3 linked regions of the Arabidopsis thaliana genome follow. The protein of the gene in region 3 purifies or fractionates together with the protein of the main gene of each other region. This does not show direct contact. Each region holds a gene or a part of one and is shown on either strand. Other genes may lie near its edges. The genes, in order: AT5G27850, AT1G18540 and AT1G57660.

Region 1 (4,608 bases), on a different chromosome or scaffold from region 3:
TTGTCTCAGTGAGAGCTCAGATAGTGAGCATGAGAAGTCACGAAGGCACAAGAAGCATGAAAAGCCAAAGAAGGTTACTTTCTGTACTCAATTCTTAATCATGTGAAGTTTCTCTGTTATAGTGTTTAGCTTAAAAGTACCATTTTTTGTTTAAAGGCTAAGGATAAGGAACGAAGCAAGAGTCATCGTCATAAACGGCATAAGAACAGAGAAAGAAAGGTTGGCCATTATTTTCTCATTACGCTTTGAATAGATTCTCATCAAGATAACAAGTTTCTTATAATACTTCTTTTGCCTTTCTCTGTGGCCTCTTCGAAATTGGAGCTGGGGTTGGTGACATGATAAACTGGGGACTTTGTGTTATCTTCGTTTTGTTTGTGTTTATCTTTTTGGTCCTGGCAATGTGAGTGTTGTATAGAAAGGGGAAGGAGAAGGAAGTAGCGGGCCTGTAAAACTATCAAAGGTACTATAGCTATATATACCCATAAAGATCTAAAGTTTATATGAAGTCCATGTTTTATGATTCAGTTTCTTTCATGATTCAGTTTTTGAACCGCGACAAAGACGATGGTGAACGTAGAAGTGCTGTTTCAGGGAAAAAAGTTAGTCTGAGACTCTCTTTAGGGTTGTCTAATATTACACCCTACACAACTATTTTCTGTTTTCTTTTCTCACTTCCTTCTTCTGATGTGTTTGGCTATAGATTCTGCTGAAGGTTGACAAGTCCAAAGAGGACAAAGCTGCAGAGAGCAAAAGAAATGAACTGCTTAAGTTCTTAAACGCAAGTTTCGACTAGTATTTTTCGCTTTTGTCTCGATGACAGAATCTCAACAACAAGAAGAATGTAAGATGGTATTTGATTAGATTCTAGTTTCCGTATCTGTTTGGTGATTCAGATCCTTGTTTTGTTTTTCCAGAGGACTAATCCTGTCATGGATTTGTTTTACTTCTATTTTCTTGTTTAGTCTTAAAGTTTGTGTTATCGCACACTGTTCTTCTTGGAAACCCGAGAAATGGTTACTGAGATTTTATCCGTGCGTACATTAAAACCATTTCCAACTTGCAAGATTCAGTATGGAACTTTCGAGCCATCTCCTGTTACCATGGAGCTGTGTTCCAATGTTGTTGGATTACATCCACTTGTGCTGAGAAGACTTGATGCGTTCTTATTTGACAAGCTTCATTATGATTATGGATATACGATTTTTGCTAGAACCTAATAGACAACGAATTAGGTGGGTTAGTACGAAACAGAACATTTTTCAGGGTTGTTTACACATTTTAATACTCATGTACAGATATTTTATTTCCAAGGAAGAGAAATACAAAACGAAATAGACCATAATGATACTATGAACTCCAAATACTGATCAAATCCAAATTCTAGATAAAATCTCATTGCAGCTAATAGTAGTAAGATTAAAAGACAAAGCAAAATATCCAATTGTCTTGAGAATAGAAAAACAGAACTTAAAACAAAGTCTGGAACAGGGTAAAGAGGAACCAGCGTTCCCTACCAAAACTTCGATACTTAAACCAAGCAAAACGAAACCAGAAAACATCTTCTTAGACCTTGAATCCACGACTCTTTCGCTTTCCTCTAGCTTTCTCAAACTTCCTTCCCTTATGCCTAACATATGGCTTAGTGTTACTGTGTGGCACACCAGGAGCAGGTCCGAAATGCTTCACTGCTTCACGCGAGTTCTTTGGTCCTCTAAGAAGAACCTGTCACAACATATCAAACACAGCTCAGTTTCATATATAAACTTGAATTATCCTAAACATTCAGATAGTGTAAAATTTTACTTACTGTGTTCTGTCCCAATGGAGCTCTGAGAGCAAGCTGGTCAAAGGTTAAGCACTCTCCACCAGCTTTCTCAATTCTAGCCCTAGCCCTCTCAGTAAACCTCAAGGCAGTAACCTTCATGGCAGGAATCTCATGAACTCTCAAATCATCAGTGATAGTTCCAACCAACACAGCAATCTTGTCATCCTAATAAATAGACAAACCACAACATTTGAGTACTCTAACCATCACTGAATAGTAAGATACAAAATCAAGTTTGTACATTTGTTCTCACATACTAACATAACAGGACAACGTCAAAACTCATAACTTCACAGAATGAAAATAAAATAAATGGGGTTCCAAATTAAGACCAAGGACAGACTCAAGATGTATATAAAGAGAGATGGGTCTCAAAAAGATCGAACCTTGCCAGTCATGAACTCTACAAGCCTAGAGAGTGAAAGAGGAGCTTTGTTGACTTTGCTCATGAAAAGCCTTTTCAGAATCACAGCATTGAAGTTGCTGTTAGATCTCCTCACCAAAAACCGGTAAAGCTACAAAATTTATCAAAAACACAAACAAATCTCAATAAACCAAAATGTAACAGACAGAGAAACATAAGTAAAAGACATGTCAATATTTGTTACCTTGACGAGAAGCTTTAGGTAGACATCATCGGACTTAGGAGCAGTCCTTTTGGTCTTCTTACTCTTACCTCCTGCGATAAGATCGATACCCTAAAATAACAACAACGATAAAACACTCAAATGCAAATCCATAACGAAACATCAGAAACCTAAGGAACCATTACACGCTAAACCAACTAGATCAAGCTCGCAAACGGAGAATTCATTTTGTAATACATAAGAAACGGAGATTGAGAGGCGGAGATCAAGAATTTACCATGGCTGCGTCTGCGAGAGGAAAACGAAGTTAGGGTTTATGAATTTATAGGAGCAACAAGCAAGCTCGCTTACATTTTAGGTTTTTATGGGCTTTATCTTCGCTTTAGGCTATTTGGGCCCAAACTAGAAGCCCATTTGTTTCACATCCTTCGGCTTCGGTTATATGATTTTGTTGAGATCAAAATCAATATTTTACTCTTTCTTTTTATGGTAAGACAAATAAATTTTTTATTCAAGTATATTAAGTGTAGATTATTGTCTTCAGAAAAAATAAAACTGTATATCTCAATTATGAGGATTCACGATTAGAGAACGTAGAATAATGGTATTATTTTGATCAGTGTTATAAACCGGATAAGTATGGATGTCATTATCCATCATTCATCTCTATCCATAAGATATGGATGATGTTTATCCATTATTTCTTCCTTAAGATATAGATGATGTTTATCCATTATTTCCTTCTTAAAATATGGATGATGTTTATCCATTACTTCATCTTTAAGATATGGATGATGTTTATCCATTACTATTCTCTAAGTAATTTACTTCCTAGCTAAGTAAGCTCTACTATATATAACTCATTTCATTCATTTATAAGATATAGAGAAAACAGAGAAAAAGAGAAGAGAAAGAGAAAGCAATAAGAAAACTCTTGTTTCGAGTTTTATTCTCTCTAGTCTTCATTCTTATTTCTTAATTTAATCTTTTATGACAATCAGAAGGTTTTTGTAATGCATTATTGCTAAAGTTTTATACAAAAATTAGGATCTTGTTTGCCAGCTAAAAAAAACTAATAGATGATGTTCATAGATACAATAAAATGGTGCAATCGGTTTTAACATGACATAATAATTGATATGTTCTTACTTCCATAATTTTTAGTTTGCTTTACAGTTTTGTATTTATAAGATTTTACTACATACAAATTATTAATAATTATTGTTTGTTTTGTTGATGTGAACTTTCATCCAATAAAGTTAAGAGAGAGATGATTTGATATTTCTTTTTTGTACAAGATGTGTATGTAATGACGTTAGTTACTTCATTGTAATTAAAGTTTGTTAAAATTGACTACAAAACATAAAGAATTATTTTACACTTGTGAGTAAACAAAATCCTATAGAATTATTTTCTTACTTTTTGTTTTATCAGCAAAAGCATAAGATAATTAACTTAAATACTTTTTGAAGTTTTAGAGTATAAATGTAGTAACAAAATATTAAACATAATGAATAAGAGTTTACTTAGAAATATAGAATTAATATTTTTTATTTCGTTTAGATTTTTTTCTTTTTCCTTCCAATATTATTATCAATGCAAATGTTTTACATCATTGTATACAAACGGCTATAAAAACCTAGGACATATTCGATATAACTCAAAGTTTGTATTACTCTTGGTAGCTGTCTTGACCAAGACATCAGCATAGACGTTGTTTTCTTGATGTCGGAATTTGAACTCGATGAAGTTAAAAGCTTTACGCCATTGATGTATGAAATCAAGATAATGTCGTAATCTTGGATTGGGCTCTATGCTATTGATGATACTAGTAACAGTGACGCTGTCACCCTCGAATATTACCTTCCTATAACCAAGTCCCTATGCGCATTGTATAGCCCAAATGAGTGCAGTACATTCTCCTTCTTCAATTGTTTGGCGTCCTTGAAATTTCCCCATTCCGCAGTCCATACATGTGCCGTGTGAATTCCTGATGATCCAGCCAAGACCCGCGGTTATCTTTCCTTCATAGTGAGAGACATCGTAGTTACACTTGACCCATCCTACTGGAGGCTTTTGCCAATTAGCCTTTCTCGATGTAGATGATAGTTGGTCTCGGGTATTTCTTTCTGGGGGTCGCATGTTATCTAGCCATTCCTTTGTGTCGAGGGACGCTTGTTTGACTATATCAGT
Region 2 (4,608 bases), about 15 Mb from region 3:
ACAATGTCATGTTTTTGTTTCACCACAATCAATATGATTTTCTTTACCAAAAAGGCAAAAAGAATCATTATGAATTTTCACATTTCAATAGCAGTACCAATCTAACTCAAACAAAAAAAAAATATGTGGTCTTATCTATTTTTATCAGCAACCATTAACAAACCAACGAAAAAGAAAAGAACAAACAAAACATTAAAACATAGAAAAGATCCAGAATTCTAAATTCTACGTGCTCAAAAAGAAACAAAACTTCAATCTTAAATCTCCTTTCTGGCACACCCTTCATTGACAATCATAACCTCTTGTCTCATCAATCTCTCTCGTCGCCAACATTGATTAATCGATTTTTATTTGTGTTGCTAAAGAAAGAAAGAAAAAATGGAGGATCAGATAAGACAACTTAAAGACATTTTCGACCGGTTCGACATGGACGCAGACGGAAGCTTAACAATCTTAGAACTCGCGGCACTTCTCCGGTCACTCGGTCTCAAACCTTCCGGCGATCAAATCCATGTTTTGTTAGCTAGCATGGACTCAAACGGCAACGGTTTTGTCGAATTCGATGAGCTCGTTGGTACAATTCTTCCTGATCTTAACGAAGAGGTCCTAATCAATTCCGAGCAATTACTCGAGATTTTCAAATCGTTCGATAGAGACGGTAACGGGTTCATAAGTGCGGCTGAGCTTGCAGGAGCAATGGCCAAGATGGGTCAACCATTAACGTATAAAGAATTAACGGAGATGATCAAAGAAGCTGATACAAATGGTGATGGTGTTATAAGCTTTGGAGAGTTTGCTTCAATTATGGCAAAATCTGCTGTTGATTACTTTGGATTAAAAATTAATTCGTGATCATTTCTTATGCTTTTTCATTTATTCATTTTTATAGAAAATCGAATTCATAACACCAGGTCTTAAAGCTAGATTGCTCGAAAATTTGATATATAAAATCAGAGAAAATAGTCTTTAAGATCCAAGGACGATTAAAGATGAAAATACTCAGGGAAACAGATATTCTTAAAATTTGAGAAACAATACGAAATCTAGAAAACAAGCTCATGTGGTTTCATTCCTTGACTCAATGAGAACCTGGCTCCAAGGTAAACCTTGAGCTCTGGGACAGCTTCAATGGATTTGATCAGAGCAGCATCAACGGTTTTCTGGTCTTCCTTCTTCTCCTGTGGGATCTCCTTCTTCTCCTGTTCAACCCAAAGTTTTCAATTAGGTAATGGTACAAAGACAAGAAAACACATAATAACCATTTTTGGATAAAACCAAATATCCATAAGATGATTGTATACCTCTTTCTCAGCTTCGAAGAATTCGCCTTCTGTTTTCTTCTTCTTCTTCTCAGCAACCTTTCCAAAATACTTGTCATCGAATTTCTCAGTGTTGACTCCAGAAATGTCAATCTTTGTGGAGGTTCCAATCACATAGGCTTGGTTAACACGTCTCAATGGAACACCATTAATCTTGAATGGTCCTGAAATGACCAAATCAACAAAGACAAACATTAACATAGGTTCCAAATTGAACAATCAAACCAACACCATCGAGAGATAAGAGTTCACCTGTTACAAGAAGCAAACCAGAAGAAAGTTGCTTGAGGAAGACAACTCTCTTACCCTTGAATCTACCAGCAAGAATGATCAACACAGTTCCTGGAGTGATGCTGGCTCTGCAACACAGAGATAAACAAAACCATATTCATATCAAAAATGAAGCATAGCCATAATCTCTAGGAATCCTACATTTCTAAAAATCCTAACAATTTGTATGGTCTCTCTTATATCACCAGTAGATCCAAAACCATTCTAATACTAGATCTAGCGGAATCAAACTCAAATGAAAATTAAAAACCAATCGAAGAAGAAGATGGATAAATACTTTAGCTTGGTAGGCTTAGGCTTGCGTCTGTTAACAAGCGGCTTCTTGACGTCTTCCGCCGGATAAAACTTGGCAGGCTTCTCAACCGGAGCGTCGACCTTTGGCTGAGCATCGTGACGAGGGAAAACGCCACCGTTCTTGGCCTTGATAGCCCACAAACCTCTCTTGTGGTACATCTGAGACCTCGAATATTTTCCAACTCCCCTGATTAGGTCAGGGTTACGGTTAACCTTGGGAGTCCTCTTCGCCGCCGGCATTTTTTCGGCTTCGGTGGTGTAAAATCTATCAGAGACATAAACCCTAGATTGAGCTTTTATATAGCAGAAAGTAAAAACCTAATGGGCCCTTATGGTCTAGAATACTTTAATATGGGCTTCATATGGGGGTCTAGTGCAAAAGTGTGTTATTGCAAAATATTGGGCTTTAAATGAAGTATTTTTGTACTTACTATTTGGCAGGTAAGTAAAAGTGTTTTTTTGATAAAAATGATATCTATCCCGTTAAACAATTTTGTTCATAAAAATTTTGTTGGATAAGTTATATTTAATCCAATTCTTATACCGGATATTTCATATTTAACAATATACATAATTAGAACTTAGAAGATTTGATTAAAGTTTAAAATTATGACTTTTTTATCATATTTATTTAACTTTTTAAATTGATTTGAATCATCATATAATACATAAAATAAGAGTTACAATTATATCTTATACGTATTATATAGCTTTAAAAAAACACAATACACGACACCAAACATAAGCATAAGAAAAAGAATCATAAAGTATACACTAGATCATAATCTGTATTTGTTTAGCACGGAGAAAAATTTATTTTTTAAATATTTATTTAAAGTTGGATTATTGTCTGTTTTATAATACAATTTTAATCATTCTATACATAATACAAATATTCACTTGTTATAGGGATAGGGGTATGATTTTTTTGGTTTGGTTTGGTTTCAGTTAGGTTTAGTTTTGGTTTTATAAAAACTAAAACCATATAGAAACTATATGTAATTCGATTTGGTTACGATTGGTTTGTACAATTTTTTATTTTATATAAATTAAAACCATATAAAACCATATGTATCTCGACCCATGCTACAACATACAAAATTTTATATATTATATATTTTAAAATAAAATTTATATATTAATTTTGGGATTTTTCTGTTTTGCCGTCGGCATCTCTTAGTGGCGTAAACCCTAATTGACAGTCGAAAGCTTTTAAATATAAGGACGATACCGGCAAAAATAAAATCTAATGGGCCTTATATGGGTTTAATTCAACACTGCTACTCTAATGCTTCCAAAAGAAAACTCCATTCGATAAGGATTTGCTTCCCAGTTCAGGGAGAGGTGAATATTTTTCAAACTAACTCCAATAGTTTGGCATCTTCCTAGAGAGGAAACACCCCGCCTTAGCCACTAGAATATTTCCGACGTAGTTTGGTATCCGAAGTAAACTTTCCTCAACTCCATCCATTGTAGCTCTAAACACCCTAAATTGAGCTTTTAGATAGCAGAAAATAAAAAACCTAATGGGCCCTTATATGGTTTAGAAAACTTTAATATGGGGGTCTCGATATTTTTAGTACCAAAGTGTTTTTATTGCAAAACATTGGGCCTTACATGAAGTATTTTTGTACTTACTATTTGGCGGGTAAGTAAAAGTGTTTTCTTGATAAAAATGGTATCCATCCCGTTAAACAATTTTGTTCATAAAAATTTTGTTGGATAAGTTATATTTAATCCAACTCTTACACCGGATATTTCATATTTAACAATATACATAGTTAAAACTTAGAATATTTGATTAAAGTTTAAAATTATGACTTTTCTATCATATTTGTTTAACTTTTTAAATTGTTTTGAATCATCATATAATACATAAAGTAAGAGTTACAATTATATCTTATACGTATTATATAGCTTTAAAAAACACAATACACGACACCAAACGTAAGTATAAGAAAAAGAATCATAAAGTATACACTAGATCATAATCTGTTTTGGTTTAGCACGGAGAAAAATTAATTTTTAAATATTTATTTAAAGTTGGATTATTGTCTGTTTTATAATACAATTTTAATCATTCTATACATAATACAAATATTTACTTGTTATAGGGATAGGGGTACAATTTTTTTGGTTTGGTTTGGTTTCGGTTAGGTTTAGTTTTGGTTTTATAAAAACTAAAACCATATAGAAACTGTATGTAATTCGATTTGGTTACGATTGGTTTGTACAGTTTTTTTATTTTATATAAATTAAAACCATATAAAACCATATGTATCTCGACCCATGCTACAACATACAAAATTTTATATATTATATATTTTAAAATAAAGTTTCTATATTAATTTTGGGAGTTCTCTGTTTTGCCGCCAGCATCTCTTAGTGGCGTAAACCCTAATTGACAGTCGAAAGTTTTTAAATATAAGGACGATAGCGGCAAAAATAAAACCTAATGGGCCTTATATGGGTTTAATGCAACATCGCTACTCTAATGTTTCCAAAATGAAACTTTATTCGATAAGGAATTGCTTCCCAGTTTAGGGAGAGGTGAATAATTTTTCAAAATAACTCTAATAGTTTGGCATATTCCCAGAGAGGAAACACCCCGCCTTAGCCACTAGAATATTTCCGCGTAGTTTGGTATCCGAAATAAACTTTTCCTCAACTCAATCATGTTTTCAACTGTAGCTCTATCCTCACG
Region 3 (4,608 bases):
TGAAGGCGGTTGAGGAAGTTTTAACCACTATTCAATCTGATGAAGCAAAAGAAGGCAACTGTGTGGAGGATGTTGAAACATTTAACGTTCCACTGACTCTGCCTTGGTCATGGTTTAGCTCGGCGGTTGAGCTAATTGGTGCAATTCTCGGCTTACTCGCTGAGACTGTTCACGCTGATGAAGGAAGAAGAGAAGCTGATTTTGTGAAGAAAGTGAAAACACTTAATGTTCCACTGGCTTTGCCATGGTTATGGTTTGGCTCGGCGGTTGAACTAATTGGTGCAGTGGTCGGCTTACTCATTAAGGCTGTTCAATCTGATGAAAGAAAAGAAGATGGTTGCGTGAAGAAAGTGAAAACATTTAACATTGCACTGGCTCTGCCATGGTTATGGTTTGGTTCGGCGGTAGAGCTGATTGGTTCAGTGCTTGGCATCATTAACACTGTTCGTTCTGGTGAAGGAAGAGAAGATGATTGTGTGAAGAAAGTGAAAACATTTTACGTTCCACTGGCTCTGCCATGGTTATGGTTTGGCTCTGCGGTTGAGCTGGTTGGTGCAGTGCTCGGCTTACTAAATGAAATTGTTCACAAGTGTGCCTCACCAACCATGGTTATTCTTGCTAGTCAAGTTGGCTCTGTTGTGGCTATTTCGAGCCGTTGGGCTGATAAGTCTGTCTGAGCGAGCTTTTGTTTTCGATTTCGTCTCTTTGTGTTTTGTGGCTATTTCGAGCCGTTGGGCAGGTAAGCATGTCTGAGCGAGCTTTTGTTATCGATTTCGTCTCTTTGTTTTTTGTGGCTTCAATTGCTAATGGAAATAAATAAAATTTGCTTCAGTTTCTTGATGTAGTTTTAATGGATTAAAAGGAATAAACTAATCTACAATTAGAAGAGCAACGGTTGCTTTATTATGCAGATGGTTTCTTTGAAATGAAAGCTAGAAGAAGACTGAATCAGTGTCAGACAAAAATGTCTTTTATATTGGAGATTGAACTGTAACCATTGGCTTAGGCAGCTGAGTACACAACCTTGAATTGAAACATTGTTCCTTTGTGGAAATGCATTACATTTGGTGTCTTGAAATCGTGAGTCGAGTTTAAGACGATATCACATTTGTATTTTCTACATTTGGTTTGTAATTATGTTACCAAGGAACTGTTTTCTATTAATCCCACATCAAAACAATGGTTATTGTCCTTGGAGTGTAGTAACAAAAGACTACTCAACAACAATCAAAATGTCTCATACTATGATACTAGCATTATATGATTTACTGATAAACATTTCAGTTTTAACTAAGGATGCATAAATGATTTCAGAAACAAACAAATGCAATAAGCAAATGATTATGATAAGCAATCTTAATAACAAAATCTGAATTGCACTTTCATACCATATAGAAATTAGTCTTAATTGATACAAAAACATCATTAAAAAAGCAAGTGCAAAAATTCTGAGTAGAGAATGATAATAAAATGGAAAAAACTCAATAACCACCCTTGAGATCGTTGACAACATCGTAAGGAATGGGAGTGACAGTCTCCAATGTCATACCTTCGACCATGAAACCCGGTTTAGGACCTTTAGGCTGTCTCTTGGTGCTGATAGTCTCTCCTCTGGCTTTAGCATCAGCCTTAAGCACATCGTTCTGCTTCTTTCTGAGTTTAAACTCCTCAGCACACCTTGACTGTTGCACATGCTCCACACGCACATGTATCCTCTTCCTTATGATTCTGTTCCCAATCTATAAAACCAAACCCAAACACATAATTAGCCCACCAAGAAATACAATAAACTAAAAGAGAAGGCTTTCAAAAATAAGAATCATAGTAGATTGATTGCAACTAATACAAATAGCAAAAGAAGGACCCAAGAAGAAAAGCTTGAATCTTTCGAACCAATACCAATCCAACATCTCAGAATTCAAAACAGATAGCTCACACAAAGACGAATTAAACCCCAAATGAAAGAATCAAAATCACATTCAAACCCTAATTTCAACAATCAAAACTTTTCCAAACAGATTAGAGATTTGAGTAATCAACACCTGTTTGTTGACTTCAACACCAACGGCACGCTTAGTGACATTCCAGATGCGACCAGTACGACCATGGTAGAACTTATGAGGCATACCCTTGTGGATAGCTCCATTAACCTTGACATCGACGTAATCGCCGACCTTGAAGGTTCTGAGGTAAGTGGAGAGTGGAATATAACCCTTCTTCCTGAATGGTCTCGCGAACAGATCTCTTGTTCTCGCCCTCACTCCGTGTCCCGCCGGCATTTTCACTCTCTGTTTGAGTCTGGTGGCTGAAACCCTAGAGAAGCCATTGTTAAGATAAAAAACATGACACTTATAAAGTGAATTAGGGTTTTCATAAATGGGCCTGATTGGGCCATAGATCTGTAAATACCCATTGGATTTGAGGAGTTAAAAGGGGAGGTACGTAATTGTTTTGTTAATTACCCCTACATTTTGTATAATTTGGGCACAAAGTTTGGTATGTTAATTTTGTGTGCATTTCGGTTTGGAATTGGTTCGGTTTAGTTAATTTGGTTATAGTAAAATATTAAAATTTTAACTAAACTTCTTAAACTGAAACTTGTTTGTGTTTTATTCGGTTTACTAAATCTTTATGTAAGATATTATAAGTAATCAAATATATGGTGAATATTATGTATTTATTGTGTTTCTAACGTAATTTAGAATAAGTATTCTGATTAGTTTAGAAGTAAAAATCATACAAAATAGATTCTCTCTTATAATAACCTAAACAATTAATTTTCTTTCTTTTCTCCTTTCCACTAGTGTTTTTTTCTCATCCTCCTTCCATGCTCTTTTCATATTTAAAAAACAATTATGCTGCAAATCAACGTTAATGTAAAAGGCTCCTTGACAAATTATGTTGAAAATTTATATTGGGGTTTAGAAGTAAGCCTCTATTCTTGTGAGGGTTTTTGGATTTGGAGATATAGAATCATATTTTTTTTCAATTCTATATTTTATTTCATTTTATAGTTAAGAGTATAATTGGTTTTTAATTTTCCTTAAATCTATCTCACCAAAGTTATTATCTATATAAAATATAGATGGACAAACTTTTGGAAAAAGGTCTTTAATATTCAATTTTTCCTTTCGTTTCTTAAACAAACTAAACAAATAATTTTACAAGAATACAAAAACATTTGATATTGTTACTACTATTTGTTAATTACAAAAAAACTCCCTACATGCGAGCAAAATATGAGATTTGGACATAAAGTTAGTATGTAATTCACAACAATCCTAAAATCCCTCTGTTTTTTTTTACCGGATTAAGCTCTATAAAACTCAAAAAGTTATTCCAAATAATATCAATTTCATTTCTCCATGTGAATTTAGTTCATAACGGGAACCTTATTGTCTAGTTATATAGTAACGTAAGAATAAAATCTTACACAGTTACACTAACAGTTAAAACAAAAAAAGGAATCAAAGGAAAGTTTTTTCTTAGCAGAGAAAAGGTATAGAGTATTCTTGAACAAGAGACATCCATGGATCACTCTGACCTATATAAGATGTATTGTTTCAAGTAAACAATCTGTAGACCATAGACCACAATGCATTTTCCCAGTGGCATTGGCTCCGAATGGCAATCCATTTTAGGTGCGATTAAGATCTGAGGTCAAGAGCGATGTGATTAGCTAGAAATATGAATGGAAATGTGATTCAACCCCGATGTCATTATCCTATATTCTTGAATGGTAATATGATATAGAAATGGTTAGAAAAAAATTACCATAATCGACATTACTTGTATTATTGTTTATATGTTTTATGTATGAGTATTATGTATCCATATAAAACATGTGTGCAAGCAAAAAGAGCTTACTGAATTGTCTCGCAGATCTCCTTAGCATCCAGGTTGGTTCTAGCTCCTATACGTTTCCTCGACTTAACGCATTTTGAGATATCGATAGCAACTTCAAAGTTTTTGAAAATTTCCGACTACAGTATAGTGATAACAATAGTGACTGATCAAGATACTAAAATAGAAGGAACCCATGATTCACATATAGCTTATATACTCAGAAAGAGTCATGTTAGCCTCACATATAACTATGCATAACCATGAATCTCTTTGTCCTTATCCTCTAAAAAAACATGTAAGAAAATGGAAATATATAAATGTTAGAGAAGAAGTTTAATGGTTGTAGAATATTTTCTAAACATTCAAACATAGACTCATAGTGATATGTGCAAACATGTGGCTCAAGCCATTTTTAAAAGAATCAACGCACTTGACAAATGCATATTGCTATATGTGAACCTTGGGTTCCTTCTCAATTGTATCCATCTTTTCTTCGTCGTCAACATGATGTTCCAAGAGGTGGATTATCCCGCATTCTTTTATCTCCCTAGCCTTGGAATACTCATCGAATATCTCGAAATAAAAAATAAGCTCTGTGGAAGTCACCTCCTTTGCTTCAACTTCGAAAATGTATAGATGATCCGTTATAAATGGATACCATTCAGAGAAACGCCATTCGGAACCGATGCGACAAGACACCAACCCTCGTTTCTGAATACCAACCTCATCATCTTCACCTTTATTATCCAACAAGATGCAATC

What was found.
Region 1: the proteins of AT1G57660 (region 3) and AT5G27850 fractionate together in Arabidopsis thaliana (co-fractionation; one large-scale study listed by BioGRID). This does not show direct contact.
Region 2: the proteins of AT1G57660 (region 3) and AT1G18540 fractionate together in Arabidopsis thaliana (co-fractionation; one large-scale study listed by BioGRID). This does not show direct contact.

What each region holds. Positions count from the first base shown.
Region 1 is NC_003076.8:9,871,256-9,875,863, reverse strand, and holds AT5G27850 (Ribosomal protein L18e/L15 superfamily protein), read right to left. Parts: upstream 2,798-4,608; 5' UTR 2,696-2,797; coding exon 2,693-2,695; exon of another isoform or gene 2,527-2,692; coding exon 2,437-2,526; intron 2,344-2,436; coding exon 2,215-2,343; intron 1,994-2,214; coding exon 1,811-1,993; intron 1,726-1,810; coding exon 1,567-1,725; 3' UTR 891-1,566; downstream 1-890. Other genes in the region: AT5G27860 (uncharacterized protein), read left to right, coding at 10-73, 157-219, 419-463, 546-602, 704-796.
Region 2 is NC_003070.9:6,376,405-6,381,012, forward strand, and holds AT1G18540 (Ribosomal protein L6 family protein), read right to left. Parts: upstream 2,177-4,608; 5' UTR 2,145-2,176; coding exon 1,888-2,144; intron 1,679-1,887; coding exon 1,572-1,678; intron 1,484-1,571; coding exon 1,302-1,483; intron 1,200-1,301; coding exon 1,044-1,199; 3' UTR 853-1,043; coding exon of another isoform or gene 379-852; 3' UTR 235-378; downstream 1-234. Other genes in the region: AT1G18530 (EF hand calcium-binding protein family), read left to right, coding at 379-852.
Region 3 is NC_003070.9:21,353,238-21,357,845, reverse strand, and holds AT1G57660 (Translation protein SH3-like family protein), read right to left. Parts: upstream 2,372-4,608; 5' UTR 2,280-2,371; coding exon 2,043-2,279; intron 1,740-2,042; coding exon 1,482-1,739; 3' UTR 1,209-1,481; downstream 1-1,208. Other genes in the region: AT1G57670 (Toll-Interleukin-Resistance (TIR) domain family protein), read left to right, coding at 1-677; AT1G57650 (ATP binding protein), read right to left, coding at 3,535-3,654, 4,306-4,608.